4 linked regions of the Oreochromis niloticus genome follow. The protein of the gene in region 1 binds, or shares a complex with, the protein of each later gene. Links are inferred from orthologs where the notes say so. Each region holds a gene or a part of one and is shown on either strand. Other genes may lie near its edges. The genes, in order: ncapd2, smc4, smc2 and ncaph.

Region 1 (7,597 bases):
CTTCACATGGCTTATGGTTGGGTTCTCAAGGAGCTTGTAGCAGCAGCAGGTCACACAGCTAAGAGGAGAGAAATGTGTGTGGGTTTTTATATATTAGATTATGGTAAGACCTGGATACCAAAAACCCACAATGAATAGTAGACAAGGTTTTGAATTCATCAGAAATATCAGATACACATAGTGCATGTTAAAAGCTGAGGTAAGTGCTGCTAGGAGTGTTGTGAGTATTAAACTACCACATAAATGTCTTCTGACAAACAATTTATCCTTACTGAGAACCATAAAACAAGTGGAAAGTGAGGAAATGTGCATAAAGAAAATATTACATTAGGCAATTTACCACAGTTCAAAGTTCTTCTAACCTTATTAGATATTGTAGATTATTAATGAAGAGGCACACATCATTGTCATAAGAGTTACAATTAAGGCTACAGAGTTCCGAATGCTCGGAAGTGATATGGATAAGTTGTAAATGACACCAATTAACTGAATTAAACCAGCAAAACGTGATACTGTATTCTCTCCCAGAGCTCTCCTGACAGCAAAGTACCTGATGAACTCTTCCTCCACCAAGGAGAGGCTCCACAGTGAACGGATGTCCAGTTGGAAGAGCTGCACAAGTGCCTGTAGCACCTGCTCTCTTTCTGAGTCCCACTGCATGAGTCCTTCTCCACCTGCTTTGCCTTTTTTACCACCCTGTACATAATAAAAAGAGCAGTTAAGCTTCATAGATGCTGGACTATGAAATCTTTAATATAGTAATGAGATCAAGTAAATCACAATAGATGTCTTCAGATTACCAAAGAAAACAATTCACACCAGCCAAACCAACTATACAGAGACTGATAGCCTCTTGTTAGCTGATCAATATGCACACAATGGCAAACATCCACACATTGTTTGACAACTCCTGCTTATACTACCCAATTTCTCTTGAGGTGGCACAGCATAGAAAATGTCAATTTCACTCTGGGTGGGCCCTTACAGTAATGCAATAACACTCTACCACACAACCAAGATTACCCACATAACAACAGGCTAGAGACTTAATATCTTAGTCTGACTGAATCATAAAGCTTGTCAAAGCTCATCAGTGGACATTTATCATAACAGACATATGCAAAGAACCCTTTAGCTAGGTAAGCAATAAGCATACCTTCCCAGTTGCTGTGACAATATTCTGCCTATAGGAATCACTCTCCAGGTTCTCTGTGAGTTTGCAAAGCAGGAAGACGCTCATTTTAACTGCGTTAAGTTTTTCCTTGCGCTCTGCAGCTGAGAGGGAGGTGGAGACAAGGATGCTCGGCAGTGAAACAGACAACCCACTAACCACTGAAAGGCAAGGGGTATAAAAAAAAAAAAAAAAAATCAGGTTATATGAGCACATCAACATATCAAAGTTATCAATTTAAACATTAAGAAAATATTTTTTCTTATAAAAAAAAAAAAAAAAAAAAAAAGCAACCTTGTACTAGTAATTCCAGAGTATCTTCTTTCACAGCCAGATCTACCGACTTACAGTGCCTAAAGAAGCAAAGACAGTTGTTTTGTACAGTAATAATCACAATAAATAAAAGTGGGCAATACCTGAAGACACTTACTGCAGCACACTGTAGCCAGTGTCGAAGTGCTCCAGTATACACAAAGGCCCCTGACTCCTTAATGCTGCCTTGAATTCTGTGTGAAACAGAATTTAAAAAAAATAAACAAATAAATATACTAGTACAATCATTGCTAAGTATCTGAACAGTGACAACATTTTGTAATTTTGGGTAAAAAACCCCAAAACAAAACAAAAAATGCAAGTACATAGGTATTTTAATTAACCTTACTTGGGCGTGTGGTAAAAGAGCAGGAATCTTTGGAAGGATTCATATAATTATGTCTGAGATTTCAGAGATCACAGTACCCCTTTATTGGAGACTGTTTGTTTTAAGGGATGGTGATAAACACTTTAGAAGAAGCTGGGTGCAATCCAGTATTATAATTATTTTATTTTATTTAGAAAGAGGGACAATACACATTAATAAACATTTTATCAAATGCAAATATGCCAGATTATAGGTAATTTCCATCTGCAGACCCTCTGGCAGGTTGGTGTAGTAAAAACATAGTGAGACAGATTCTTAGCCCAGGACAATTCTTGGATGGTAATGACTTGTTGGAGGTGTTTGAAGAAAAAGCGATGACTTCTGTGCCGATGTTCTACAATTTGTTTAAAAAAAATAAATAAATAACCCCCCCAAAAGACAAAACAAAACATATCAGTGACCTGGCTACATGTTGACCACTTACTGTTGAGATAGGACGGGAGCTGTTTTGCGGAGACCACATCCTGAACGACGTACTGGTTGATCCCTCCAGTCTTCACAAGGTCCCCCACGCACACAGGTACAAAGAAGTCCCACGACATCCCTGAATCAATTAAAACAAACAAACAAACAAAAACAGCGTTTATTTGCATGTTTAACTAACTTAGCTACTCTTGGGAAAGAATTTGATATTACTTCTAAAGATGCTACCTACTATTTTACAAAGCGAGATAGTCGAATATTCGACTAAACACATTTACAATTTAACTTGTTCTTGACCCTAGCTAAGGAGCTAAAGTGCAGCTTAAGACTCTCCAAGACACTCCAGCCCATGTGACTGTTATAAGAATTACTTCTATTTACCAAAGAGTAACCTTTATTTTTGTGGGTTTATCTAACCTAAGCAAAACAGCTACTGCTAATACAGTTAGCGAGCTAACTAGCAGGGCTAGCTCAGTATCTTGCACGCAGTTACATTATTGTAAAACGGAAATGGCTTCAACAACAAACTACTAACTTTTTATAGTTTATAAACATAAAGCTCACCCGTAACAAATGTACTCCTGTTAGCCAAACTGTGGACCTCTACAGAAACACGCGTAGCCTGTTAGTATTCACCGTCTACAAACGGTCTAAATCCAGCAAGTTTTCAAATTTGTCCGGACACCGCGCCAAAGCGGAGACTCTGACGTCACATGACCCCGCCCACGTTGACGTGCTGCTGTTTGACCGAACATTGCCACCTGCCGGACGCTCGTGCGCACTACAGCACAAAGTCAGAAACTTTACAAACCACAATTAAAAACGGAGAGAGACACAAAGGAGGACAGAGAAAAGGTTTTTGAGGTAGTAGCTGTATTCAAATGATTGAAACACAATCACCCCCTCTCCCCGGTACCAATATTTCAGCTACAGAAATGACAATACTTTTCAAAAAAAATTTCTTACTTCCTATGCAGCACTCAGTCAAATGTTAAAAATGAAATGGTTCAATTCACTACCACAGGTGACTAATACTGTCAAGTTGCAGCATTTTTTTTTAAAATTTTCCCTCTTCTTATATCGAAAAATTAAACTAGTGTTCCAAGGCTAAGCACAAGAAACTAACCATATGACAAAGCATCAAATCATCCATGGTCTTTTTTTTGGAAGAAAATACAATTTTGTAGTTGTACATGTGAATACGGTATAGAGTATTATGGAAAATTCAAATGTCATACCATTATGGGCAGTTATAGTGTTTATTAATCACTCAGAAAATAAAATGTAAAAAAAAAAAAAGTCACAAAAAGAGCACCAAAGGTAACAACAAAAACTCAAAATTAGTGTTAACCATTTTTGTTTTTTTAAAAAGCAAAATTTAAATACATTTGTAACACTTGGCTCCTTCAAACATTCTGCATCAGACCAAGGCAAGTACGTAAACCAAAATTTAAAAAGCACCAAATGTTAAGGAAGATGAGAAACAAAAAGTTCTAGTAACTAATGAAGAAATATTCTTCTCATTTTCCATCTGATCAGAGTCCGTGTTTCGTTCCAGGAGAACCAGGTGTTCTCACTTCCTCTTTCTGTCCTGAGAGCACCGTGGACAGTACCTGCATAGCATAAATGAAGAGTGGTGAGGGTGCATACTTTCAACACTCTGACTGAACACATTTGTTAAATTAGATCACAGTCTCAATTTCACTTTAGTTTTTTTTTACCATTTGCCTCTTGGTTTGGTTGTCAGTCCCACACATGCGAAATGGAACCACTCAATGGAGCACTGGAAAAAGACAAAAACAAAAAAAATACTGGTAAGTCTTGTGCAAATGAAGCAGTTGGGACAGACAAAAATCACATTTTTCTAGAACACATGATGGAGAACAATCTGTTCAAAAAGAGCCATCACATGTAATATTCACAGTGTGGCTTCTGCTAATAAATCAGTCACACTGCCATCTGTGACCTTATCCACACAGCGAGTGGCACCGGGCTGCAGCGTCTTAATTTATGGTTAGCATCTTGGAAATGTATGTAAGAGAGAGCCTGTACATGCACTTTATAAAGTATAACAGACACATAATACCATTTCAGCTTCTATTTTTTATTATTAATCTGATTTAATGCTCGCAGATTCAGCTCTGTATGATACAATTATACAGTCGTGACCTTTTTTGATATGTGGATGGTATTTATTGATATTAAAATAAATAATATCATTCCTTCATTAAAGGGACCAGTGAAGGTACCACATTTTGTGCGCTTTATTAAATGTCACAAAGGGACACATTGTCATTTACTCACTTCCAAATGCAACCTCTCTTCCTTTGTTAAGATGTACAGATGGATCTTTAAATCTGATAACAGCAGGGCTCCATCCACTTAAAACGCCATTATAAGCAAATAAGTAACGGGAAATTAGAACTAGAAGGTGATTTACTACATATTAAACCATTTTCCACAACCGTCTGGCTTTGCCTTTATTGCATAAATGTGCACTCACCAGAGACTTTATTAGGTAGGTCTTGCTAGTACCAAGTTAGACCTCTTTTTGCCTTCAGAGCTGCTTAGTTCTTTGTGGCACAGAGACAAGGTGTTGATTACGTTCTCAGAGATTTTGGTCCGAACTGACATGATAGCGTCACACAGTTGCTGCAGATTTGTCAGACGCATATCCATGAAGCTCCACGATGGTGATGATGTCACATTCAAAGTCACTTAATTCAACTTTCTTCCTCATTCTGATGCTCAGATGAAACTTCAGCAGGTCCTTGACCATAGCTACATGCATTGAGTTGCTGTCATTGACTGGCTAATTAGTTCTTTGCATTAATGAACAGCTGAACAGGTCTAAACTACTAAAGTAGCTGCTGTATTTTTGTTAATGCAGCCTCATTTTCTTCTCTTTTCTATGCTCCTTTCCTTGATGTGTCCAATTATGAACATTCTTCTCCTGTAGAATAAGCTAAAAACTGACAAGACCAGTCATCTTGGAAAAAAAAACCTTTCCACATACTGTAACTGGTTAAAACAAACACATGTATATTCTGCCAAGTTAAAAATATACCGGCCATAAACACTAAATGAAAAAAAAAAAACCTGTTTCCCTATGTTTGGTGGTTCTGACAACATCAGAGGGATGTGTGTGAGTATTTCACTATAACCAGACCTCTTTTCATTTGGTTCATATTGAAACATAACAGAACATAACTCAAATAAAAGTGGGCAATGATTAATATATTTCATTTTGTTATTGCCAAACAAAATGGGATCAGTGGATATGCAGATAAGGACAGCACACTGAACCCAAACAACCGGACATCTCCCTCTCAAGTTCAGTAAAGACAATAAAAAGGGACATGCCATCTTATGCCAAAAGACAACTGTCACAAGCAAAATGAAGCAAGAAACTGCAAAGAAAGCATCCCAAGACCCTCTGTGGTCTAGCCTCCTCTGTGTGTTTACACAAAATGCTCTTTTCTCCAGTGAAAAGAGCCAGAAAACATCAGAAAATATATAAAGCGTTCAGAACACCAGTGCTTGTTTCTGTTACTCTGTATGATTTGTCTTCATATTATGACACTTGAAGTGGGTTATAAAATTGATTTGGTTGAGGTTTCTCACAGAGCTTAAATGTTTTTTAGCCCTAACATTTTCGTTTAGCTACAGCTCTTCTGACGTTTGATGGCTGAAAAATACTGGGGGGAAAAAAAAAATGAGGCAAACAAAGATGTGCAAAATTTCTGCCCACTATTATGTGCTTTAAGTACCTGTAACTCAAAATACATTGATAGTATTTAATTACCTAAATTTTGATTTGCTTCATTAAATCGATTAAAGTAATATCCATGCATTTATTTTCTTAAGTGTTTGTCAAATTCAGGGTCACAAATGGGCTGGAGCCTAACCCAGCTATCTCAGTTTTTTTTTTACCTACAACAACAACAAAAAAACATGTGATACAGATGGGAAGTATTTTCATATTTTCTTGATTTTATATCAAATGAGCCTCTTCACATTGATGAACAACAAGAAAATACGTGAATATTTGAAGTCTGTAAAGGATTTATACCTAACAGAAAGTCAACCAAAGACTTTATTATTTGCTATAGTTTTCAGTGTAAACATTTTGGTTGCTACACTTGCGCTCTTTTTCTGTTAAAGACTTGTGCTCTAAACCATGTAGCTTTTCAAACGACAACACACATTCATCAACATTAAATGTAAACTTGTGTCTATACCGATCTCATGTGTCCTCTGATTGAGTGTAAGAGGGCATTTTAATACAAAACTCACATCAGTGTTGTCACAGCCGATCATCTCGCCATAGGAGACCTGATGACATAGGCAGTAGGTGGGCTCGTTGGGGTCCACTGGCATATCCAGCACATCGGATGGGTGCACGTTCCCAAAGTTGGAAGAAGGGCTGTTGAATTCTCCTCTGATGATTAAAAAATGTTGTGTGTGAGAAAAAGAAATAACAATGACGAGACCATCAAAAACTAAACAGTGCCCAACATACGGCTGAAGGAGTTTCACTTTCTTCTGTGCACTCTTAGGACTGCCGTCTTCATCTGAACTCTTCACTTTAGACCTCGTTTTAGCTGCCTTCTTCTCTTTTTGCCTGGAATCTCCTGGGATTACAAAAGCATGCAAGACATACATTATAATGAGTATGGATTTACTTAACTGAGCACGTAACTAATTCAACAAAATAAAAAACTGGGGGCAAATACAGTGTTAACCCACCTTTCTTCCCCTTACTAGAGGTGGAATCATAGTCTGTGCTCTCGATTTGCTTTTCCTTCAGGTCAGCCTCAAACCGAGCCAGATCCGTGTCCAGACGTCTGATGTGTTTATCCACCTGCACAAAATTCAGGCCATGCTTACTCAAATACAGGGCAGTGTATTTATAAAGTTATTTCTTCTAATAAACATGTCTAAAATATGTTTATTTTCTAAGATACCAACCATTTCATAGGTCTGCATGGCCAGCTGCACCTTATCATCTCCAAACTCCTTGCATTTACTGTATGACTGCTGGATCTGCCTCAGTATGGACAGCTTTTGCTCAGAGGAGAGAGTCCGGGCGTTGGCAGTGTATTCTTTAGCCAGAGAGTCTATCTGGCCTTTAAGATCTAAAAAAATAATAATAATCATAATTTTTTTTTAAAAAAGATGAGAAGAACTTCTAAACAATGCTGTCTGTGATTACGAATATAATTTTAATACCTCACACAAATAAGTCAAAATGTTTTTTAAAATAACACAATTGGATATTCAGTTTTCTTATTTAACTGGCA
Region 2 (6,986 bases), on another chromosome or scaffold:
CTACACGAGGCAAAAATCTATGAGTTTATATCATATGAAATTAAACAGAAAAAAAATTAAATTAAGAGTGGGATACACAACAAGTGATGTTAAATCTGTGACACATCAGAAGAGTATTTCCCAGGCAGGGATTACATGTGTAACCATGTTTGGTCGTACCTTGTGAAAAGGCCCCAGAATCTGCTCGCCTGCATATGATTTAAAGTTTCGATTAACTAAATGTGTTATCATCAGGCGAGGGGCGCCCGGTTCATTGGTCATTGCTGGGGGCGGAGGTGGAGGGATGCTACCGACAATCTCCTCCAAACTTCTATTATCAACGGTCTCGGTAGCTTCCCCGTGAGACGAATCTGTGGCACACAAAAAGTACAACTTTTATTCTTCTGTTCGAGTCGTTTCAGGTGGGGGGGGGGGCAGTTGTACGTGGGGGAGGGGTAGAGAAGCATACTCGCGCACACACACACACAAAAAAACAAAAACAAACAAAACACACGCACCAAGTTACAAGAGCAGTCAAAGTACGACTCCAGAAAGAAAAGTTGACAGGCGTTATTTTTCTTTGTTCTGCAAACAAGAGCCAACCCCAAAAAAGAAAAGAGACCATGGCCGCTTATGAACGAACCCACATTATAATCCAAACGCTCTCTACGTACTCAGATGCGCCACATTGTCGATGACAAATAACTAAAGTGGAAATCTCAGCCATCAGCGTCACATTTTCACTCATGCCTGTCTGTGCTCAAACAGAAACAGGAAAACGGGTGTTTTGTGATAATAATGTGTAACGCAGAAACGATTATGTTGCCATCACACCAAGCCACAACGACCTGTCCAAAATCTATTGTGCTCACATAAGCATAAACAAGCAAAGATGTCGATGTTTGTCAATTAAAACCTCGCAGCCAGACACCCAGTGAAGCATTTCAACATATTCTACAAAATACAGACATTACCCACTGCTTATGTGCATCTTATAAGGTTCGCATAGAAATCAGTGAATATCAAGCTTACAAGAATTAAGTCAAACACCGCTCTGATCTACTACACAAAGCACCTCATTTTTCGAAATAAATTACCTCGTCTGCTGAGAAGATCCGGGGAAGAAGTACACTCGGCGTTATCAAAATCATCTCCAAAATCATTTTATTGATGACTGGCACTTTAGTGAAAAATATATCAGCCATTCTAACTCCGTGTTGTTTAAGCAAGAAGGGGAAAAAAAAGCTTTACAGCTGTGCCAATTGGCCCCTACCAATACAGCAATACACGCAAAGGCTTTGACTGAACAACTTATTTAGATTCACAGACACCAAAACACCCTTTGTTACTTGCCAGTTTTCGGCGGTGCCTCCTCTTGGCCATTGGAGTTGGTTTCTTGAGGGGGTACATCTAGCTCGTCTTCGGAGTCAGACTGCGACCCTTTCCCTCTTGGCTTGGCGGAGGCAGTTGAGCTCTTTGCAGTTTTAGATGGCATGACTTGAAATCTGAAGGGGTCATTGGTAAAAAGGGAATATCCATGAGTGGTTTTTGTGCCTGTCAATCTCTCAACTCCACTTTTAGTCGGTTACACGCAGCTTCTCTGTCAGGCTCTAATCATTACCACAGTCAGATCCTATTGACGCCCAGCTAACTGTTAATCGGTATACTTTGCATATCTTAACATTGCTGTTACAACAATGAGTCCAGCATTACACGAGTTACTCGTGCTGAAAACGTTAAAATGAGATAGCACCAATCCGATGACTGCACAGAATCATAAGCTATTTCAAGTTTAAAATCAAGCATCATTTTTCTTTAAAATAACCTATATTAAAATAATAATCTCATCCTTTCACAGAATAATTGTAGTAGGCATCTGCATCTATATCATGCATTTTATTTTGCCTCGCGAACCTAGGCGGTAAATAACGCAGCAAAAATAAGGTTAACGTCACAGCAAGTGAAAAACGACTCAGTTAATGTGCAAATAGCCTAATTATTTTCCCCCTTAGCTCTCTTAGCCTAGCCTGCGTTACACTGCCACTGCTAATGTGGCTGAAGTTTGGCTGAAGTTGGTGGTGAAGACCCAACGTCCTAAATTGATCGAGGTTTCAAACCGACACTAATATTAACTTTCATCCCCACAACGTTTTTGCTGGGGCGGAGGCGTAGACGAGCCAACCTAACTCGCTAGGTAATTGGTACGCACATTCAAACAACTAATGCAACTTTACCCGTGTTAGCATAACGTTATAATTACATTCACGTTTGCCAAATAAGTAACTTGGCAATGGCAGCGCAAACCCTGCCACGCTGTTTTTACTTGCTAACGTTACCGTTAAGTTAGCTATACTACTACTACTGCTGCTAACTGATTGGCTAACTATATGAAGTGAAATATCGCTGCGACGCTAAAGCTAACATAATGGCTAACTTAAACTATAAAAAGGTATGAGTTGCTGGGCTCTATAAAGTCAAATGGAGTGTCGGCATAAATGAAACGCAAAACCTATCCAACGTCAACGTGTTATCTGAAATGAAAGGAGTTATTAACCCTAGTATTAAAGTTAAACGAGTAAATACATTAGAGCCCGCCGGTTATGAGCTATTAGCAACGCGAGCATTACTTAAACGAGTCGGAAATGTCACTATTAAGAGTGAGTGTCACTGTGGGTTTAATATAAGTTAAGACGAAAAGTGATTAGGTCTCATTATTTCTGTTAGTATGTGTAATAATGGTCCGCTCGCTTTCAATCAGAAGCTAACGTTAAACCTTAGTTTAACTTGCCGTTACTGTTAAGTCCCTCTTCAAACGTAATACATTTCAGCAAGTAGATGGAACCCAGTCGTTACATTCCCCTAAAATACTTCCATGTACCTTCCACACTATAACCACGATCTGTCAAGAGTCTTCCTTTCAGACCACAGTCGCTATTACGCAAAAAATAATCGTCAATCCAAAGTTTGGCAAATATAATCCAAAAAATTTACTCCCGTGTCACTCCGACTCGCTCTCCTTAGTTGATAACTCAAACTTGTAAATGGCGCCTAAACCTCGCTGTCGAACCAAATTCGTTACAAACTGACGCAAGGCACCATGGAACGTTCAAAGGGCAGGGGGGGGGAAACGAAATTCAAAAAAGGGGACGAAGCCAACTCCGCCTCACTCCAAACAAACCGCATTCACACGACTCTAAAGAACAAACGAAAAGGAATAAGAGCCATGCAATGCGTTTACAGCAAATTGTTCATATTATTCAAGTTTATTCTTATTAAATGCCTAATGTTGTTCCTACGTCTTCAAACGGTTGTCTGTGGTACGATAAAGGACCTGCCCCGGGCAATGTCTATACTTGAGGAAATATAGCTCGATAGATCAACTGTTAGTGTTGGTTGATCCCGATTCTAACGACTTGCATAAATGCATTTATTTAACAGATGTCGTTTTTGAACTTAGAAATATTTCGAAATTTCCGTTGTCAAGGAAGTTGAGATGCAACTCTCGCGATAATTTGTTTTTCAAGCTGTTTATGACCCAGATTAAATGGCTACCAAAGTGCAGGTTTTACACGTTGGGGCATAAATTGCTGATTGGTGATAGATAAGACTTTTGCGTATTCTAATAGCGCTTCATAGTAGAGTAAATGACACGCACGTTTTGCTGAGAGTCGCTTAGTACACTCGGCAACGAGAAAACGATGTCCATTTTAACCAAGAGAACAAGTTAACGTTAGCATTCAAGTCACAGACGAGACTCAGGGGATAGCTGAGGACTTCCGTTAGCAACAGTAGCAGGTACCGTAGCAACAGCGGACGCTTGTTTGTTTCATCGTTACAGCTAACGGAGAGTGCAAACGGCTGCTTTACATAGTTTACGGGTAAGCTGTATACACCCATGCTTCAGGTCTTCTGTACTATTATTTTTTGTGTTGGTTTGACAACAGTGTTATATAGAGAGCTTTAACATAACAGGTACGTTACTGTCTCTGACATTTTTCTGTTCGTTTAGTGATCAACAGAACGAACATCCACCATGAGACTGAAAACGTCGCTCCTAAAGGAATCCAAACATATCCTTTTTGTAATTATGTAACACATGTAATTCTGTGACAGAATTCCAGAACTTTTAATCGTAATTATTAGTGGTGCTATTTGAGGCAGTGATAGTATTTTCCATCCTTGTGTTGCTCTAACCTCTGTCCATTTTTCAGAAAACCCAATTTATTGCAGAGGTTACCACAAAAAAGGGTTTTAGAATCAGTTCATTACTAATAACTCCTTAACAGCTGATCACATAAAGAACTTGTGAGCTGCGTTGGCTGGACCACAGCAGATGAGCTGTACTCGTGCAGTGAGGATCATCAGATTCTCAAGTGGAACCTGCTGACCAGTGAGACCAGTCTGATTGTCAAACTGCCAGAGGAAATTTACCCTACTGACCTACACTGGTTCCCCAAAACTGTTGGTGTGAAGAAACAGGCCCAGGCTGAAATCTTTGTTCTTACCAGCACAGATGGCAAGTCTCTGTATTCTCTGAAATTTGACCCGAATGTTAAAGGGTTTATTTCAGAGTTCATTCATAAAATGAGTGGCCGTTTTTTGGTCATATCTATACATTTATTAGTTAAAGACATTCTCATGAAATAAATAAATTAAATAAAGTAACAGACTTGGCTATCTACAGGATGGCAATGTCTTCCTTAATTTTTGATTATTTATTTTTTTAGAAGACATAGGCACAATTCAAGAGTTATTTATATTTAAGGGAAATAATCGCTACCAATTTGATACTTGTAGGATCCAGTAGAGTCCATTTGAATTCTTCTTTTTATGTATTCAGTATAAATCTGTGTCTAAAACTCAATTTTTGTTTTGTAGATTTCTAATACCGACCCCTTGGTTGATACTATTTGTGTGACATGAATCTGTCGTACATGTCTCTTCTTTGGCCTGCGTTAGATGCAACACACAGAATATGGATGTACTGTTATGGCAAGGCAATGTGTGGTCACAACACTAATGGCAGTGTAGGGTTGCATAAACACACCCACAAACTGAAGCAGCAATTTTCTCTGGCAGAGCAGAGACTAGTGAAAAGTGTTACGATCCATTTTGCAACTTTCCTCTGCTTCTTGTCTTGTTACGGTTAAAAATATTAGTATTGCAAAAGTTATTGGTTCTGCAATGGGAATAGAAACAGAGTTTTATTCATTTATTTTGACTTCACTGTTAACTGAAACACTGAAAGCTTTCTTTTGCTCCAGATTAAAGTTTTTAATCTGGATTCTTTGTTGGATTTCCTATTAGATTGTATGACATACTTGAAGAGAAAACAGTCCACCTGGGTTTTATTAGTTTTGAAGACTTTATATCTTTGGGATTTCCTAACCTTTTTTGATTAGTTGGCCTTCTTTCCCTTTTACAAGTTTATTTGTGATTTTTTTTTTTTTTTTTTTTTTTTAAATGTATGATGCTAAGCAGTTTCAGCGTTTTAAATTACAAGCACACATGGTATTGGAGTTCGTATAATATTTCATTCCTATTAAGCTTGATATTGTAAATTTACTTAATAAGCGTACTTCATTATTTTGGAATCCCCAATATGTTCACACTGTTAAGGCACAGAATTGCATAGCTCATACGTGGCATTTGCTGGAAATTATATTGTATGACAGATTTGACACAAGGAGGGTACGATTAAGTGTGATGAATATTCTCAGACTTTGTTTGGAAGTCTAGATGCGCTGCCAGGAATTTCTCAAAGGACCAAATATAATGAAAAGCTAAACTAAAAGGGTCGATTGTTATTATTATTATTATCACTATTTATTTTATTTTTTATAAGAAATCAAAAAATGAGGCTTTCCAGATAAGAGGCAAACAAACAATTAAGCATTTCCTATGTAGAATGTGGCTTTCTAATGTGCTTTTCATTTAAGAGAGTCACTCAGCTGTACATGCCTGTTAAACTGACTACCTGCTGGATCAGTTACATCTACTTTTGTTGGGATGTCCAAATTTAGAAATGAGAGAGCACTGCAGCATGCTGATTTGCAGTTTTAGGTCACCAGAAATTACATAGAACATTCAGAATTTTTAATACACACTGCCACAAAGTATATGGTAGGCTACGGTCTTCAATAACTCTCCATGGCTGATCACCCTTTCGTGTCTACCGCATAGAAAATTGCCCTAATTCACCCAACAGAGGCCTTTTTAGTTTCACTCATTTGCTTCAAACCAGAAGTTTGTAATTTACTTGATTGGAGAGAATATAAATTTGTCTGTATTTGTGTGTTAGGAGATGCATTGGTAGTTATTGTGTGTTTTGATTAAAATACGTATTTATTTATATATTTTTACTATTTTGTCTTGGCCATTAAAACTTGTTTTCTATTACACAGTAACTAGAATTCCACAGATTTATGAAACTTTACTGAGTGAATTACAATGCTCAGTTCTGTATTTGAGTTATAAACAACTGAAAACACCAACATCACCCCAGGCCTAGTGTGTGGAATGGCTTTACACCATCTATGTGGGGTTTTTTTGTAAATTTGTTGCAGGAAAGTTCCACTTAACCTCAAAGATGGGTCGCATTGAGAAGAGTGTTGAGGCGCACAAAGGAGCTGTTTTGGCTGGAAGATGGAACTATGATGGGACTGCTCTTATCACTGGTAAAGATGACTAGGACTCATTTCCTCTGTTATCTGACAACTACTCATCTAATCAGCCTTTTTTCCTTTTTAAATCAAAATGAGAATCTAATCAAGCTGTCTTTAAGGTCTATTCTGGTTGTTTTTCTAATTAGCGGGAGAAGATGGGCAGATTAAAATCTGGTCAAAAAGTGGGATGCTACGCTCAACACTAGCCAGCCAAGGTAAGGCTTAAAACCTTAATTTCACTGAAGCGGAGCTGCAAATGTGTATCTAGTGCATGTGCAAAACTGCACACTTTTCATTTATTATTTAAGCGCTAAAATGTTAATTAGCAAAGCAAAACGCAGA
Region 3 (7,408 bases), on another chromosome or scaffold:
GTTTGGTCTTCAGCTCAGCCTGGGCATGCTTAAGCGTCATTTGGGCCTGAGCATAAATAAGGAAGAAAAAAGAAATTGTTGGAAATTCATGATAAAATAAGAACCCAGGGAATAAGGTCAGTGAAAAAAATGTTTTCTAGTCACAGAAGCATATACGTGTAATCAGCCTTCTGCAAAAATATTTATTCTTAAAGCAAGACTCTGACTCTAAAGACATCTGTCCGTCTGCTTTCGTCACCTGCTTGGCCTCTGTATCTGCTTTGCTCATGTCATTCTTGCAGGTCATCATCTGGCCTGCGAGTGTGGCTTCCTCTCCATCCTCATTGGTAGAAAGACCTGCAGACACAGCTTTGAAATGCTGTTCAGCTGCTTCAAGGGCAGCGCTGTCATTCTTTCCTTCCTCCTGCAGAGCCTGAAGCTGCTTGGTCAACACAGAAACCTCTTTTTCCTTCACCACAAGCATTTTCTTGTCCTGTGGATGAAGGAAAACAACAGTTTGAATAAATGATTCAGATGTACAGATTACCCTTGTTTGCAAGTCATAGAATAACACGATTTATCAGTCTGTTACCTCCTCCATGTTCTTTACAAGCTCCTTCCTCTTCTTGGTTTCATCTTTGAGATTTGATTTTTTTAAGTCAAGTGCACTCTGAGCTTTGGCATCCACACGCTGAACATCAGCTAGAGCCTCCTCAAGGGACTTTAATACTCCATTTACTTCCTACAGACGAGCAGATTGATATGGATTACTTTGCTGCAGTTCGATTAAAACATACAAAGAATGGACCTATAGCATACAAATTATTTTAAAGACTTCAACAAAGGTATTGCAAAATCTGCCCACTATTATATAAAAATTCAAATTGTGATAAAATTTTTTAAATTACTCTTATCGCTCCCTTTCTTCTCCAGTGTAAAGTACCTGGTCTTTTTCCTTTTGCAGCTCCTGAATCTGGGCTGTGAGCTCCTGGACTTTGCTCTCGTTCTCTGCCATGCTAGCTTGCATCTTGGCGATGTTGTCCTGCATCACTTTTAGATTCTCTGCTGACTTCAGCTTGGTCTCCTCCGCACACACAAACAGCCAGGCCACATACAGCCGCGACAAGTGCTGGATCTCACGCATCAGCTTCTGGTATTCCAGGTATGATGATCGTTCCTGCGGACAGAGGAAGGTTCAGAAATGGATATTACAACAGTAAAAACAAAAAGAACACAGGCTTCACAGGTTGAACCTGTGGAGAGAGATAGTCAGTTCAAATCTTAATGCCAAACTACCTCCTGCAGTTTCTGCATGGTTGGAGTGATTTCCTCATCCAAAATCTGTAAGAGCAAACAAAATAAATGGTTTGCTTCAGCAGCAGTTTGCTGACGAACAAGTATAGATAGTGATATAGTCAGAGTGACTTAACATACAGTCTGAATCTCCTTCAGCTTGGCCTCTTTCTTCTCGATGGTCTTCTGAGCGCTAATCTTTTTACATTCATACATCCTGGTACCTGCTGCTTCCTCGATCATGGCAAGGATCTGAAAGAATAAAAGTATTCAATATTAGAAGTCCTAAGAAGGGAGGGAAATATGGTCCTCCTAATGGGCAACGTGTTTGTCTTACCTCTGGTGGTTTCATATTCAGAACTTTGGTAATCCTCCCCTAATGTATTAAAACAAAAGGAAAATCTATGAATGGGGTGACAGATCATATCTATTCACAACCACAACTACACAGCTGACACAAGACTGACCTGCATGATGAGAAAATGTGGGTTGTTGACATTAAGACCAACAGAGCAGAATAAGTCCTGCACTCGGGTGTTGTTGGCATTGACTCCATTGATGAGATACTTGTTCCTGCCACCAATTACCACCTTAAAAAAAAAAAAAAAAGTATATCCGTGTTAATACAAGCACTGCATAATAACCCTAAAGCCAGAGACTTTCCTCCTTTATTTCTTTCCCCACCTGTCTCGTAACAGTGATCTCATCATGTGTTTCAAACCCCAGAGGACTCTGGCTTTTGTTGGAGTTGTCAAAGGTAATGGACACAGTGGCCTTTGTGATGCCACCCTGTCCGTTCTTGTACACCAAGTCCTGGAGGTTGGAGGCTCGCACCTGTCAGATGAGATGAAACAAAAAGGGATGCAAGTTTTGAATGAGAAACAACTACACATGCTTCTTACTTAGTTAACCTCAGTTCAGAGTCACTGCAGCTTCGTATTTTTCAACAGTTGTTCTTCATATTTTGTTTCTCACTTTTGTGGCAGTTCAGTTTGACCTGAGTCAGTTTTCAGAAAGGATATGTTTATTTTATTGTATTATTTTTTGTCACTTGCTATGAGAGAACCATATTGTTATAAACAAATCGTGACGGCTATTTACTTCCAGTCACGAAGCGACCGCAGTCTCAAAGTGTCGATGCCTCCTTATGCTTACTCTATTGACAGCTTCTACGAAACTAAAACTAGATGTATTTCTTGTATTCATACTTCATTTTATTTTAAATTTGTTTCGCAAAATACAGTAGTTTTAAGCACTATAACAATTTGTGACTTTCGCTTGTTACTGACAGGAATACAACCACTGCCAAACTCTACAAAAACTCTAAGTAATCAAATATAAACAACTGTAACACTGGATTTGATAGCTTTTAAGCTATCTTACGCACAACAGCACACTTACATGGGTGAGATTTGAAATACCCAAAAGGAAACATATCGAGTCCAAAATATTGGACTTGCCGCTGCCGTTCAGTCCTGTGATGGCGTTGAAGAGTGGGTCAAAGCCGTTGATCTCCGTCCTTTGCGCGTAGGACTTGAATCCTTCGATAATAATAGACTTGATGTACATTTTTCGAGTTTCTTCTCTCCGCTGATTCCGGAGGCAAGACTTGTTATAGCCAAGTGACAAACCACCACCTTAAACGGAAAGCATCAAATATTAGCCCCGTGTTTACAACCGACAACTGGGAAACTGCTTCTTCTCTCCTCTAACTTGAATTTTGGCGGCAGGCGTGCAGACCCTGAGCCGCGAGTGCGTGCGTCCGTTGTGTGCCGGAAACAAAACAAAGAAAACTTACTACATGAAAAATATGCAGACACACAACAAGTATATTATAATGATGAAATTTTAAAATAAATAAACGTCAATGTAAAATCAAAGAAATGACGATTCTTAAATATTTATTGCGACATATATTTATTTTCGTCAGGCAACTTCTAAGGCAACTAAAACTCTTAGACGTGTGTGTTGGCGCCACCTGTAGTAGATACGAATATGAAGTACAAGTGCATTAGTAAAATCGTCCCGAGTCAACCTGTCCGGTCGAGAAAATACTGCATTATACTAAAAATAGTTTTAGTTAATAAAGATAATTTAATGACGCTAATATCTAGCGTCATTAAATATTAAATATTTCTTTATATAAAATCCGAAATATTAAATGAAATTGAAAAACCTGTCACTTAGAAGCGCTATGAGGCTGCTCTCCCGCTTGGGATTTAGAGAAATCGGTGGTATGACTGTTAAATAACGAAAAGTAGCTCCTCTCGCTAAAAGCATTGACTAGAAGTTATAGCCTTGAATTCAAATACTAATTATTCCCACAGTTATTTAACCTATGTAACCTATTGTGCAAAAGTCTTGACCCACCCCTAATTTCTTTATCTTTTGCTTCCAAGCCGCCAGAACTTCTTGTAATTGTAATATAATGCCAAAGATAACACAGTTGAACAGGCATGAAGTAATATTTTCTGATTTACCTATTAACTGAAAACTTTGCACGTCTTGGCATGGTGTGTAGTGTGTGTGTGTGTATATATATATATATATATATATGCACACACATATGTGTGTGTGTGTGTGTGTGTGTGTGTGTGTGTGTGTGTGTGTGTGTGTGTGCGTCTGCAGCACATCTGAAAATAATGTCCTAAAGAAATACTGTTTGAAGAAGGTCTGGCCGAGACCTCAGAGATATCTGGCTGAGCCCTCATCAGAAATGGTCTCAGTGGAGGGGTGAATTTCAAGAAGCAATTCTTAAGGAAGGAAAACGGGGAGAAAATGCTGAGGTATGCTAAATTACATAAGAACTGTACTGAAAATCAGTGGTAAGAGGTCTTATGAAGTGATGAAACCATTTTTAAAAAAATCATTGTTAATATGTAGAGAAGAAGTCAGGAAAAAGGTACAACAGCATGTACAGCCATCTGTAAAACACCGTACAGACTCTGTCATGGTTTGGGACTACAATTCAGCCAGTGGTGTTGGGATCATGTCAAAATGAATGGAATTATTAACACAGAAAAGTTCCATAAGAGTCTGATCCACCACGCAGGCATCTTGAAAGCATCTGATTTGTAGGGGCTTCAGCATGACAGTCATTTCAAACACACTGCCAATGCACTAAAAGCATATCTGGATAGAAAAACCTACAGTGGAACACTATCAGCTATGGAGCGACCTCCCTAGAGTCTGGCCCTCAACATTATTGAAGCAGTGTGGAATCGTCTTGACAGAGAATGGAAGAAAAGGCAGCCAACATACAAAGAAGAGTTTTGGATGTCCTTCAAGAAGCCCAGAGAACTATTCCTAAAGACTACTTACAGAAATTACAAGTTTTCCTAAGAGAATTCAGGCTATGCTAAAGAAAAAAGCTGGTCATACAGAATAATAACTTAGTATTAACTAACTTAACTCAGGCTCACTGGAATTGTACAAACTCGTTTTTTTTACACTGTTTATTGTATTTCTGTGCGTGTTTGCAGATGTTTAAAAAATTGTTGCATCTATTTCCCATTTTCCTAGTAAAATGTAAAGAAATGACAGGGTGGCTTAAGACTTTTGCACAGTAGTGCATGTACTCAAATGTTGCTTGAAAGCCTCTCGTCATTGGAGTAATACATCTAGTGAGGAAATACCTAATCATTTATTTATCTAGAAATGGCATAGAGTATACTGGAATCAGACACTGAAATATCCACCAAATACATTTTAAGGTTCATTAAAATAAATGAGATTTTTGCAGCGCAGCTCCCTGTGACATATACTGTTAACAGTACTATGCACTGCATAAAGAGCATAGGGTAAATGATTCGTACCCTATGTTTAAAAGGGTAAAGGGAGAAAGAAGCGCAAGAATTTGCAGTTGCTTTATTTGTTTTGTGCTACATTTATTTTGAAATTCAGCACATGGAATATAATACTTTCAGGGTTATATAATTAAAAGTTCACAAAATTAGATGATAAATATAGCACATAGCTAGCATTTGCCATGAAGATACATTCAGCAGAGCATTAATGCAAAACATATTTCATTGTAAGTTCTTCAAAGCCCAGCTTACTGAAGCTACGAGCCTACATTTGCTTCTCACTAACTGATATAAGTAATATACACGTACAGTATTTGCTGCAACTTTGTAATATAAACACCCACCTTAACTGGCACTCTCACAACAACTGTGTACTTTTATTATCCATCCAGAGGCACATGACACATGGAGAGACAAACCAAATTGATCGCATAGAAGCATATCTGTGACAGAACAGCGCAGTCCCCTTTGTTTGAGTAGAAGGAGGTGGGCTTGATGTAAGGCCAGTCAAAGTTCCTCAGGTTCAGTGACCTTTGACAGTACCGGTCACTGAGGGCAACCAGGGCACGCACGATAGCGTATTTGGCTGAGCAGCTGATGGCCGTCACTGTACGCACCTCGTCGAAGTGCAGCAGGAAACAAGGGTCATCCTGAAACCAAAGCAAATTATATTTATGGAGCACCTTTAAGAATCACTGCATTTTTTTTATTGTGTTTGTTCTGTAGAAAGCCTACATTATTATAGGGCAACTAAAGCCAAATGACCACAGACCATTCTTCTTTACCTTGTCCCTAGTCCACAAATATTATGTGTTTAAGCAACTGTAGAAATTTTGCAACCGATTAATTAAAATGTGAAAAATAGATAAATAACACTGTCAAATTTATTGCTGATGAGTCACGGGAGGGTGCCAGAGCAGGAGTAAAGATTTTAATAACATGACTCATCTAAGATTAAATAGCTAAGTAGCTTCTGATAAAACTTTGGTATTATCTTAAATTCATTTATTTATTTTTTCTTAATGTATTTACATGCCTGTGTGTGTATGTGGGATACATACAATGCTTAACAAATTTATTAGACCACTTGTCATAAAAACATGAAAGCACCAATATTTTAGAAATCTGTCAAAAACGTGTTTAAAAGTAAAAGTTATATCATTATTTATTAGGCAAACACAAAATTTGTGTTCACATTTTTATATTCGAAAAACGCCAGTACACCGCATAACATTAAATCACTAAACCTTTTCTGTTTAGGAATGCAATCACTGTAATTTGCCATCTTAATAAAATAAAATAAAAAATTTGTGTGCTTTAATATAAATCACAGCTAAAAATAATAATAACAACAGCAATTTTAGCATTAAAAATATCATTTTCATTAAAGAGCTTGTTACTTACTGGTAGATTAAACATGACAGAAACATAGAAAATGACATGAATAATTACAAACACTGTTAATTTAGTGCGGCTGTGGCATAAACCGAACATTATGGTGGTGGTCAAAGGTCAGTGACTTTGTGCAGCACTTTGGTTGGTGAAAACTGTGTTTAAATGCGCTTTACAAATACATTTTAATTACTTAGTTAATAGGTACTGATAAAGCAAAATGTCTACAAATCTTTATTATGCGTTCTATGCGCTCATCAAGAATGCCATCCACATACAGTTACCCAAAAGACAGTTTGTCTCTATTTGTAGCCAGTTAAGAACAGTGGAAGTTACAGAAGAATTTGGCTAATTACCACGTCAGGATTTCTTCCATCAATCAGGGTAAGGTCTTTCAGGGACCAGATCTCTGTCCTCTGGTAGCACTCTTGTATGCAGGAGCGTTTGGTGAAGGATCTCTTGGATGCAGACTTTAGGGGCACAGACATCTGACAGTGCACTATGCATAGCTGGACTTCTTTGTTTTTTGCAACTGCGGAAAAATGGAAAAACATCACAAACAGGTGCACTGCAGCACCGGGCTTTTCATCAGCAAGCCAGCCTTATAGATTTAACACACCCTGTGTGGTGCAGGTATACACAGCTTTTAAGGAAGTGAGTTATTAAAGACATTAAAAATGTACATTTACATTTTAAGGAGGAAGATATTTACTCCTGTGTAAAAATCAAATGCATATTTCTGAGTCAACAATCAAGCTGTTTACCTGAGGCACAGAGAAAATGTCTTCCGTGCGATGGCTCTTCAATTTCAATGAACTCCACCAGTCTCTGTTTTGCAGGTCGAAACAAAACTCTCTGCATCTCCTCCCTCAGAAGAGACGACATCACTGGAGAGAGGGGGGAGAAGAATCAGAGCGTCCCAAAAACAGCAACGGCAA
Region 4 (7,808 bases), on another chromosome or scaffold:
CAGCTGAGCGCACCATCCACTCCGAGCTCCCTGCCCTGCACTCAATCTACAGCAGGCGGTGCTGGGCCAAGGCCAGGAAGATCGTGAAGGACCTCAGCCATCCCAAAAATGGACTGTTCTCTCTGTTGAGGTCAGGAAAGCGATTCCGCTCCCTGAAGACCAACACAGAGAGACTGAGGAGGAGCTTCTTTCCGCAGGCGATACGGTCTCTCAATCACACCACCACATAGTACTGACCCACACATATGGTTTTTACACACACACTGGACATTCTGCACATTTGTTTACATTTGTTTACATTTGCCATCTTGTTATTGATTAACAAGATCACTCTATCACAAGTCACTTAAATAAATCACTTTTAAGCATATTTGCACTGCACAAGACACTTAAATATGTGGGTTGCACAACCCTGGACATTACATTTCTTTCATTACCATTTATTACTCGTACAGCTGCTCTTATTGTTCTATATTTCTTCATATATTCTTCTATATTTTCTATATTGTGTATTTTGTTGTACAGTTATTTTATTTTTAACTTTAATTTTTATATTTTATTTTATTCTTTCCTAGTTAAATTTACTCTTCATTTTAATTTTCATATTTATTTCCTATCCTATTCATAGTCTTTTATTTTAGGTCACGAGCAGTTGTCTAAGCATTTCACTGCATATCGTACTGTGTATGACTGTGTATGTGACAAATAAAATTTGAATTTGAATTTTGAATTTGAATATAATGTTTCTTCTAGTATTAATGACCACAAACCCAGCAACACAAAGCAAAGCTAAACCAGCTCAAAGAGACTTTGAAGCGATTGTCACAGTGATTCTACTCTGAAAACACCAAAAGGTACAAACGGGAGCTACAAGCCGACTCATCACTGAAGATCAGGCTCTGCTCAGCACACACTCAGCTGTATCATCACGCTGGGTTCTTGGCTAGCTTGTTCGCAAAGAGCCAAACTTGCGTTAGCAGTATACATTGCTTCTGTCCTGAATGCAGTTTGAACTTTAAAATCACACTCTTGTGCTTTTGAGCAATAAAAACAAAAGTAATGTCCACATTTCTGCTTTTGACCACCCCAACACTTTTTTTCTCTTCCACACAAACTAGTGGTCTGTGGATCGATACTGAAATATCAATTCTTCCAGTACCAGATATTTATGTTCTAGAATCAAATCTCATCTTAAAATATCAATATTTTAGTAATTTGGGGTAAATTTGTAGTTTTTCATTAACAAGAACACAGTAGAAAGTACCTGTATTATTGGGACCATCTGAATGATTGGTAGGAACTACTTCTTCCGCCTGTCATAGTGAAATACCGCTGTATAAATGCATCATGGCTCACGTGTGCTCATTCACTCACTTGGTAAGGTCACAGAACTGTTAAACACAAACAAAAGTAAGTTATCACACAGAAAATGATGACGAGTTTATGATGAGGTGAACTGAAGAGGAGAGGGACAGGTGCTGCTAGGGTGATATCACTCCCAGATAAATGGATTATATATGCTAGGTGTCATTGAAATATACAGCATACTTACAGTAAAATAGCCTTGATAGACTTTAAAATATAAAAATACAACTTAAATATTTCATACATAAGACAGATAGATAATGACAGGCATCTATAAAACGTCTCAGCTGTATTATTATTTTCAGTCGGTCACATTTGTTTTGAGTGATTGTTAATTGAATATTTTCAAATGGTATTGACTTTTGGGTTTTTTTATTTTGTATATGGTAATTCTTCATAATCAAACAATAAGAACAAGTAGTCTGGTCACTTGTATTCATTGTAAAGGTATAATTTGAAATACACTACTTTTTATTTAGATTTTCCAAACACATTAGGTTTTTGTTTAAAGTATCAGTAGCCAATCAGTATCATTGATACTAGCCGGAATTTTACTGGGGATCAGATCAGAAAGGAACTCAGTGGTTATTGCACATCATTAACACAAACTGAAATCAGCTGATTGCAGCGCAAGTGCACAGAAAGAAAAAAGTGTGCTTGTGTGTTGTTGTTTTGTTTTGTTTTGTTTTTTCTTTCTATCCACCTCATGCAGAGAATTGACCAACTTTTCCAAATAACATCATAATTGTAACAGTAACATAACAACTGAATTTAGTGGATTAAATCATTACTGAAAAATGTACACATGCAGTATCAACACAATAAGCGTTCCAGCATTAGACAAACTCAAACAGAATTGATTCCAACATCCATCAGTGTTGTTTCCTGGGCTAAATCTGTTTGGCTACTCACTCCTTTATTACTCACTCCACTCACGCCTTTATTTAGCCCCAAATGATCAAGCTGTTTAAAACAGCAAATGCACTAAGGGCCTGCACAAAGGCCCAGTATATGATAAACAAAGCTTTTCGACTGGGAATCATGCAAAGCTACTTCAGCACAGTCCAATAATAACATCAAGCAAAAAACAGCAGAATTGATATGTGTCTGTCTGTGTCCTGGAGAATAAACATTGTACATGTTTTATTATTTGGTAGAGTCAGCCCTGGTCTTACAAGAATAAGATCTCTTATACTGAGGACACAAGTGTCTGTTCCTCATTTAAAGAGTGAACTTCATAACTATTAGACTTTGTTAGTTTATAGATATGAAAAATAAACCACCACCTCTAACGCTGAGTGACTATTTTGACTGAGAAAACATTCATATTAGGCCTCCTTCACTAACATTTCCATAGAGATTTTCTTAATTTGCACACTAAAAAGGTGTAGGTGCAAAATTATCATCTTCTTCAGGACACGTGCACAGCAACACCACAGTTTCCAGTCTGTTGGATCCCCTCCACCTCCACCCCTCCCTTCAGGAGGAACGCGCTAAAATTGCTGCAATAGAGAAGCCTAGCCACTGATGCAAAAATGCAAAAGAATTTTATGACTAGAGAAGCTGAAACCTTACTGTCCAAGGTGGAAGTCAAAATATGCATAATGTGTAACATGTAAAATAAAGTGTAAATATCAATCTGCTTGTATACCTTCATACTGAAGTTGTAAATCCAAGAACAATGAAAGGCCATCAAATTCAAAATTTGGAATAAATTTAGCTAATGCATTAGTTAGTTACTTAATTAGATTAGTTATAACATTGTTTTCTGTTATGACCTTAAATTGAATTCACTTTTAAAATGGAAAGCATTTACTTTAAATATCCGTTTACATTTTCCAGGACAGTTGGGCTGTTATTTTTGTGTACACAACTCTCTGAGGACACTCTTATTTGGTCAGATTCTCCAATTGGGGAGCCATCTGTGTGCTAAAACTTATGCATTTATGCTTAAATTCTTTTGTGACTCAAGCTTCTTTCTCTTGCCTTACAGACACACTCACTACTGGTGCAATCAAAGATGTTCACTGCATGGGCAGAGGGTACATCTCCAAGGAGTTAAGATAATACTCTGATCAACCCTGTCAAACATCACTGAAAGGCATTTTTTCTGACTGTGTCAAGCTTACTCATGGAAACTGGAATGAACTGGCTAATGTTTAACTTTGAATTTTTCCCATAGGTCTTTTGCAGAAGGTCTCTATAGACAAAAACAAAATGGGAAAAATTGAGCAGGGTTAGTGTCACACTAATAAAGGAATGTAACTGGCATTTCTCATTTGAATGAGAATATTCATTTAGAGGAAATCCTATGGGATTGTGTCACAGTTATTACTTACCTAATTATTACTTCCCTGAAAACTGATATTTAAAATTCTGGAAGTAGTTTAACAAAATTTTGACTTTCTTATATCAATTCTGAATCCATTCACCGTTCAACTTACCAGCAACACAATCTTGATTGTCACTGCCATCTAGTGAGTAGCCAATGCACTGCCATTATTCTCAGCCAGTCTAATGAAGCAAAGCCGCTGCTTCATGTCATTAGAAAGATTCCTTTTGCTTTAGTTTTTATTTCAGTCAATAATTATAAGAGAAATAGCTATTAATGAAATGTACTGTGCAACTTGCATGCTGCTTTTCAGTCTTTACTTTAGTAGCTGAATGTCAGTTGATGTTGTTAGAGTTGCGGCTGTGGCTGTCAAACAATATCTATCAAGTGTCTATTAAGTGATAGAAGTAAAAAGAAAATGGTTCCGAGCAAAGTGCTCCATCCTGTCATGCTAAAAAATGAAAGTGACAGCATGTGTGCTCTCTTAGCTGTGCAGGAATTTTGATGAAACATGGAGAAATGGTGTTTTGCTTTAGTGTGATGTGAATATCAATATATGTTTACTGAGTCACAGCTGCTTAACTTCGAGACCCTAGCCTCACATGTCATGCTTGATCTGTGATTATTACAGCAAACACTGTTTCAGTATGTCTTCACATACAAAATACACTCAGTCAGTACCAGTTATTCCTCTTATTAAGGAGCAGACCACTTAAACATTAAAGGATTTACTGACTCACTCGTCAATGATCATGGTAGTCAAAAGATCATTGCATAAGGAAGACATGGTGGGGGATGCTATTATGGTATTGAAAATGAAAAAAAAAACCTGATTATCTGTCATAAAAACTGATGAACACTTACTTTTTCGTGATGTAATGTTTTTATTAAACAATATCATAAAATAAACAATTCAACGAAAACTACTTTATGTTAATATTAAAGAAGAATTATTATAAACAATTATTATAATTATTAAAAAGAAGAAGAATCATTGAGTTTTATCTCAAGATCACTGTTTTCATAGTTTCCTTGGGGGTCATTAAACTACTCTGAATCTGATTTTCACTTTCTCTCGCTGTGGTGGGCGTGGTTAGCGTCATGACGTAGGTTGCTGCTACGTAAACCGTTCGGCGCAAAAATTCAAACGCTAGACAGGAAGAAATTTCCTGCTTGTTCTTTCTGTCATATTACAACTTATAACGGGTCTACATAAGTCTCCGTCGGATTTAAGGCAATTCTTGGTATGTTTTGGGGCTGAAGCAAGTCTTGTGATAAAGTTTTTATTTGTTAGTAAGCCTGCTAACGCTAACTGTAAGAACACGTTCATACCGAAGTTAGGGTTGTTATGCTAAAATGCATGTAAAGTTAGCTTAGTTAGCGTGAGCATGTAAGTGCGTTTGGGCAGTACATGTGCTTCTTACGTGATTATTTTACTAAACTAGCTTACCAAATATGTTGTGCTAAGATGGCGTTTGCTTTCTGAAAACTTACTTTAGTTGAATGTATATAACCTTTTCACTGGTTTAATACTTTATTGTAGAGTTCCTTTGTTTATGTGCGAGTAGCGTTCAAGCTAAGCTGATGGAAATCCACATTGAAGTCAATGGATATGAGTCTACAAAAGGAAGGATTCGCAGACTGTGCTGTGCTATACTAATAAATGATGAACCCTTAAAGTAAACAACGTTGTTTCGGTAGCAAACAGGCAAGATTGATGCGAACTTAACCCTAGCATATCATACTTGCATAACCAGAGCCAACATTAAGAGTTTGTCTTGTCTTTTTTCTCCCAATTTCTTTGCCATCATGAGACCACATTCTCTCTCCTTATTCTCATTAGTAATTTTTAAACTTGGCTTAAACTTTGTTTTCCTTTGTAAGTTCCAAACAGCTGTAACAACACAAGCACAGCACTTTGTAAAAACAGCTGATTCACAGTTATGTTAGCATCAAATATATGCCTCATCCCGTGGGTTGTATTGACAGATTTCACCACCGATATCCATTGAGTTACTTTTAATATTTTTCCTAAATTCTAGATTTTATTTGAGTTGCCTGCAACAAATAGTTAACTGAGCCAAGTTAACTTTCTCTCCTGCTTCAAATTGATATGTGTACGGTACATTCAGAGCGCTGAATTCTGCTCTTTAAGCACTATTTCTTTCCAACCCCCTGTTCAGTCCAAACTTCTTTTCCTATCTCCAGCAAAGATGAGCGGAGCCTCCACACCCGTCTCCCGAGTACAACCAGGATGGATGTCATCCTCTTTGAAGAATAAGGGTCTGTCCCCTGCAGGCAGCAGCACTCCACTGCTGTCAGCTTTCCCTGGAAACGATGATGAGCAGGAGCGACGTCAGCGTAGGAGGTCAAGAGTCATTGACCTTCAAGCTGCAAGTGACTCCTCCTTCAATGACTCTGCATCTCACAGGTATGCTGTAGATAATGGCAAGACTAAAAGTAATTTGTAAAAACATTTTGTGCCATGGCTTTGACAAACAGTACCTGTCTGCTTGGCTGCTATGTATCATGAGAGCTCAAAGACAATCTCATTGTCCTAATCAGCACTGTGGGAACTCCTGCTGCTGTGCCCAAGTTGTCAAATGCACAGATCTCAGAGCATTACTCCACCTGCATAAAACTCTCCACTGAAAATGTAAGTATTTGTATGTGTATGCATTTTCCTCTTTTCCCTTTACAGTAAATGTCCTTTGTCTTTCTCTGTGATTGGTAAATGAAAAAATATGGCGAAATACGGGGCAAATAAATGAATTAAGTACTTTTTTATTCTTATCGACAGAAAATCACCACCAAAAATGCATTTGGTCTGCATTTGATTGATTACATGGCTGATATTCTCAAACAAAAGGATTCAGAGCTCACCAACTTCAAGGTATGTGTAACTGATTCTTTCATTCATCATTTTGGTTCTCTAAAAGTCTTTGAACTGATTTAAACATTTGAATGAAACATCATGATAAATAGTCAAAGGAGTTCGCAAAGAAAAGCGTCTGGACTTCTTTAAGTTGCTTGAAGACGTTTCACCTCTCATCCGAGAAGCTTCTTCAGTTCTAAGGTCAAATGGCCGAGAGTCCCAGATTTAAACCCATTTGACCTTAGAACTGAAGAAGCTTCTCGGATGAGAGGTGAAACGTCTTCAAGCAACTTAAAGAAGTCCAGACGCTTTTCTTTGCAAACTCCTTTGACTACGATGACCTGGATGACTGAGAATCTTCACAGACATCATGATAAATAATTTTCTGGTTGTTGGAGAACATAGAAATGTTGTTTGGGTTTTTTTTAAAGTGTGTTTAAAATATCAGGAGAATATATTTCTTGGACTCAGCACCCACCTGACTTGTTTAAGTTAGGCGGGTGCTAACACCAGTTTGATTTTAATTCAGGGAAGCAGAATTTATACAAAATTAAGGCTGCATTCTGTCCAGTGTGATCTCTCATCTCACAAGCACCACTCATTCTGAGAAAGTGCAGGATTCTGTATTAATCTAGAGTATTTATTATTTAGTTTTGCAAGCAGTATCCTTCAATATTTACATCTTTTCATCCTAAAGGTGGCAGCTGGCACTCTGGATGCCAGTACGAAAATCTACGCTGTGAGGGTGGATGCTGTTCATGCTGATGCCTACAGAGTGCTGGGTGGTCTGGGTGCTGAAACCAAACCTGGAGAGGGTGAGAGTCTCTGTATTGTCGTTGGATTTTCTTTTAACCATACTTGTGCTATGGCTTGAGCTTTCTGGCTTTTTCTAACACAGTTTTAAAGTTGTTGAACCCACCTTCCTGTACTATTGAAGATTTTCTGCTTTTTTTGAATTCTTTATGCATACACAGGCCATGGTGCAACAGAGGAAGATGGAGATGATGCAGGACTTGCAGGAGGTGAAGTCACTGCCAAGCAGCCAAAGAAGAAAAGGCCTCCCAAGAAGACAGTAGAGCAGAACCTGAGCAACATCAACAGTGCTGAGTCTGAGAGGAGATGTGAGGTATGTAGAGGTCTTAGCAAAGTAACTAAAATAGTGCACACCTCAGTTCTTTTTTTTTTTTTTTACTTTTTGAAATAACAGAAGTATCGTTCAGGGCTTCGGGACCACTA

Evidence for each region.
Region 2: ncapd2 (region 1) and smc4 share a complex: the UniProt entries of both Homo sapiens proteins name them as parts of the condensin complex. The link is inferred for Oreochromis niloticus from reciprocal best matches to the Homo sapiens genes NCAPD2 and SMC4.
Region 3: ncapd2 (region 1) and smc2 share a complex: the UniProt entries of both Homo sapiens proteins name them as parts of the condensin complex. The link is inferred for Oreochromis niloticus from reciprocal best matches to the Homo sapiens genes NCAPD2 and SMC2.
Region 4: ncapd2 (region 1) and ncaph share a complex: the UniProt entries of both Homo sapiens proteins name them as parts of the condensin complex. The link is inferred for Oreochromis niloticus from reciprocal best matches to the Homo sapiens genes NCAPD2 and NCAPH.

What each region holds. Positions count from the first base shown.
Region 1 is NC_031976.2:23,069,337-23,076,933, reverse strand, and holds the start of ncapd2 (condensin complex subunit 1), read right to left. Parts: upstream 3,008-7,597; 5' UTR 2,859-3,007; intron 2,416-2,858; 5' UTR 2,414-2,415; coding exon 2,296-2,413; intron 1,678-2,295; coding exon 1,602-1,677; exon of another isoform or gene 1,588-1,601; intron 1,525-1,587; coding exon 1,466-1,524; intron 1,333-1,465; coding exon 1,157-1,332; intron 1,100-1,156; exon of another isoform or gene 787-1,099; intron 697-786; coding exon 551-696; intron 59-550; coding exon 1-58. Other genes in the region: ing4 (inhibitor of growth protein 4), read right to left, coding at 3,868-3,907, 4,016-4,077, 6,591-6,735, 6,817-6,928, 7,044-7,158, 7,266-7,432. UniProt on the Homo sapiens protein: Regulatory subunit of the condensin complex, a complex required for conversion of interphase chromatin into mitotic-like condense chromosomes.
Region 2 is NC_031979.2:23,949,603-23,956,588, forward strand, and holds the start of smc4 (structural maintenance of chromosomes protein 4), read right to left. Parts: upstream 3,014-6,986; 5' UTR 2,858-3,013; intron 2,791-2,857; exon of another isoform or gene 2,768-2,790; intron 2,174-2,767; exon of another isoform or gene 1,494-2,173; intron 1,485-1,493; 5' UTR 1,475-1,484; coding exon 1,333-1,474; intron 1,195-1,332; exon of another isoform or gene 1,077-1,194; intron 351-1,076; coding exon 160-350; intron 1-159. Other genes in the region: ift80 (intraflagellar transport protein 80 homolog), read left to right, coding at 4,013-4,049, 4,274-4,495, 6,546-6,656, 6,791-6,859. UniProt on the Homo sapiens protein: Central component of the condensin complex, a complex required for conversion of interphase chromatin into mitotic-like condense chromosomes.
Region 3 is NC_031971.2:23,782,978-23,790,385, forward strand, and holds the start of smc2 (structural maintenance of chromosomes protein 2), read right to left. Parts: upstream 3,007-7,408; 5' UTR 2,842-3,006; coding exon 2,674-2,841; intron 2,107-2,673; coding exon 1,957-2,106; intron 1,863-1,956; coding exon 1,740-1,862; intron 1,649-1,739; coding exon 1,610-1,648; intron 1,525-1,609; coding exon 1,414-1,524; intron 1,321-1,413; coding exon 1,276-1,320; intron 1,157-1,275; coding exon 923-1,156; intron 722-922; coding exon 572-721; intron 473-571; coding exon 239-472; intron 47-238; coding exon 1-46. Other genes in the region: exoc1l (exocyst complex component 1-like), read right to left, coding at 5,459-5,728, 6,827-7,002, 7,235-7,357. UniProt on the Homo sapiens protein: Central component of the condensin complex, a complex required for conversion of interphase chromatin into mitotic-like condense chromosomes.
Region 4 is NC_031977.2:6,091,797-6,099,604, forward strand, and holds the start of ncaph (condensin complex subunit 2), read left to right. Parts: upstream 1-4,790; 5' UTR 4,791-4,941; exon of another isoform or gene 4,942-5,011; intron 5,012-5,905; 5' UTR 5,906-5,910; coding exon 5,911-6,128; intron 6,129-6,262; coding exon 6,263-6,353; intron 6,354-6,497; coding exon 6,498-6,590; intron 6,591-7,269; coding exon 7,270-7,387; intron 7,388-7,546; coding exon 7,547-7,698; intron 7,699-7,808. UniProt on the Homo sapiens protein: Regulatory subunit of the condensin complex, a complex required for conversion of interphase chromatin into mitotic-like condense chromosomes.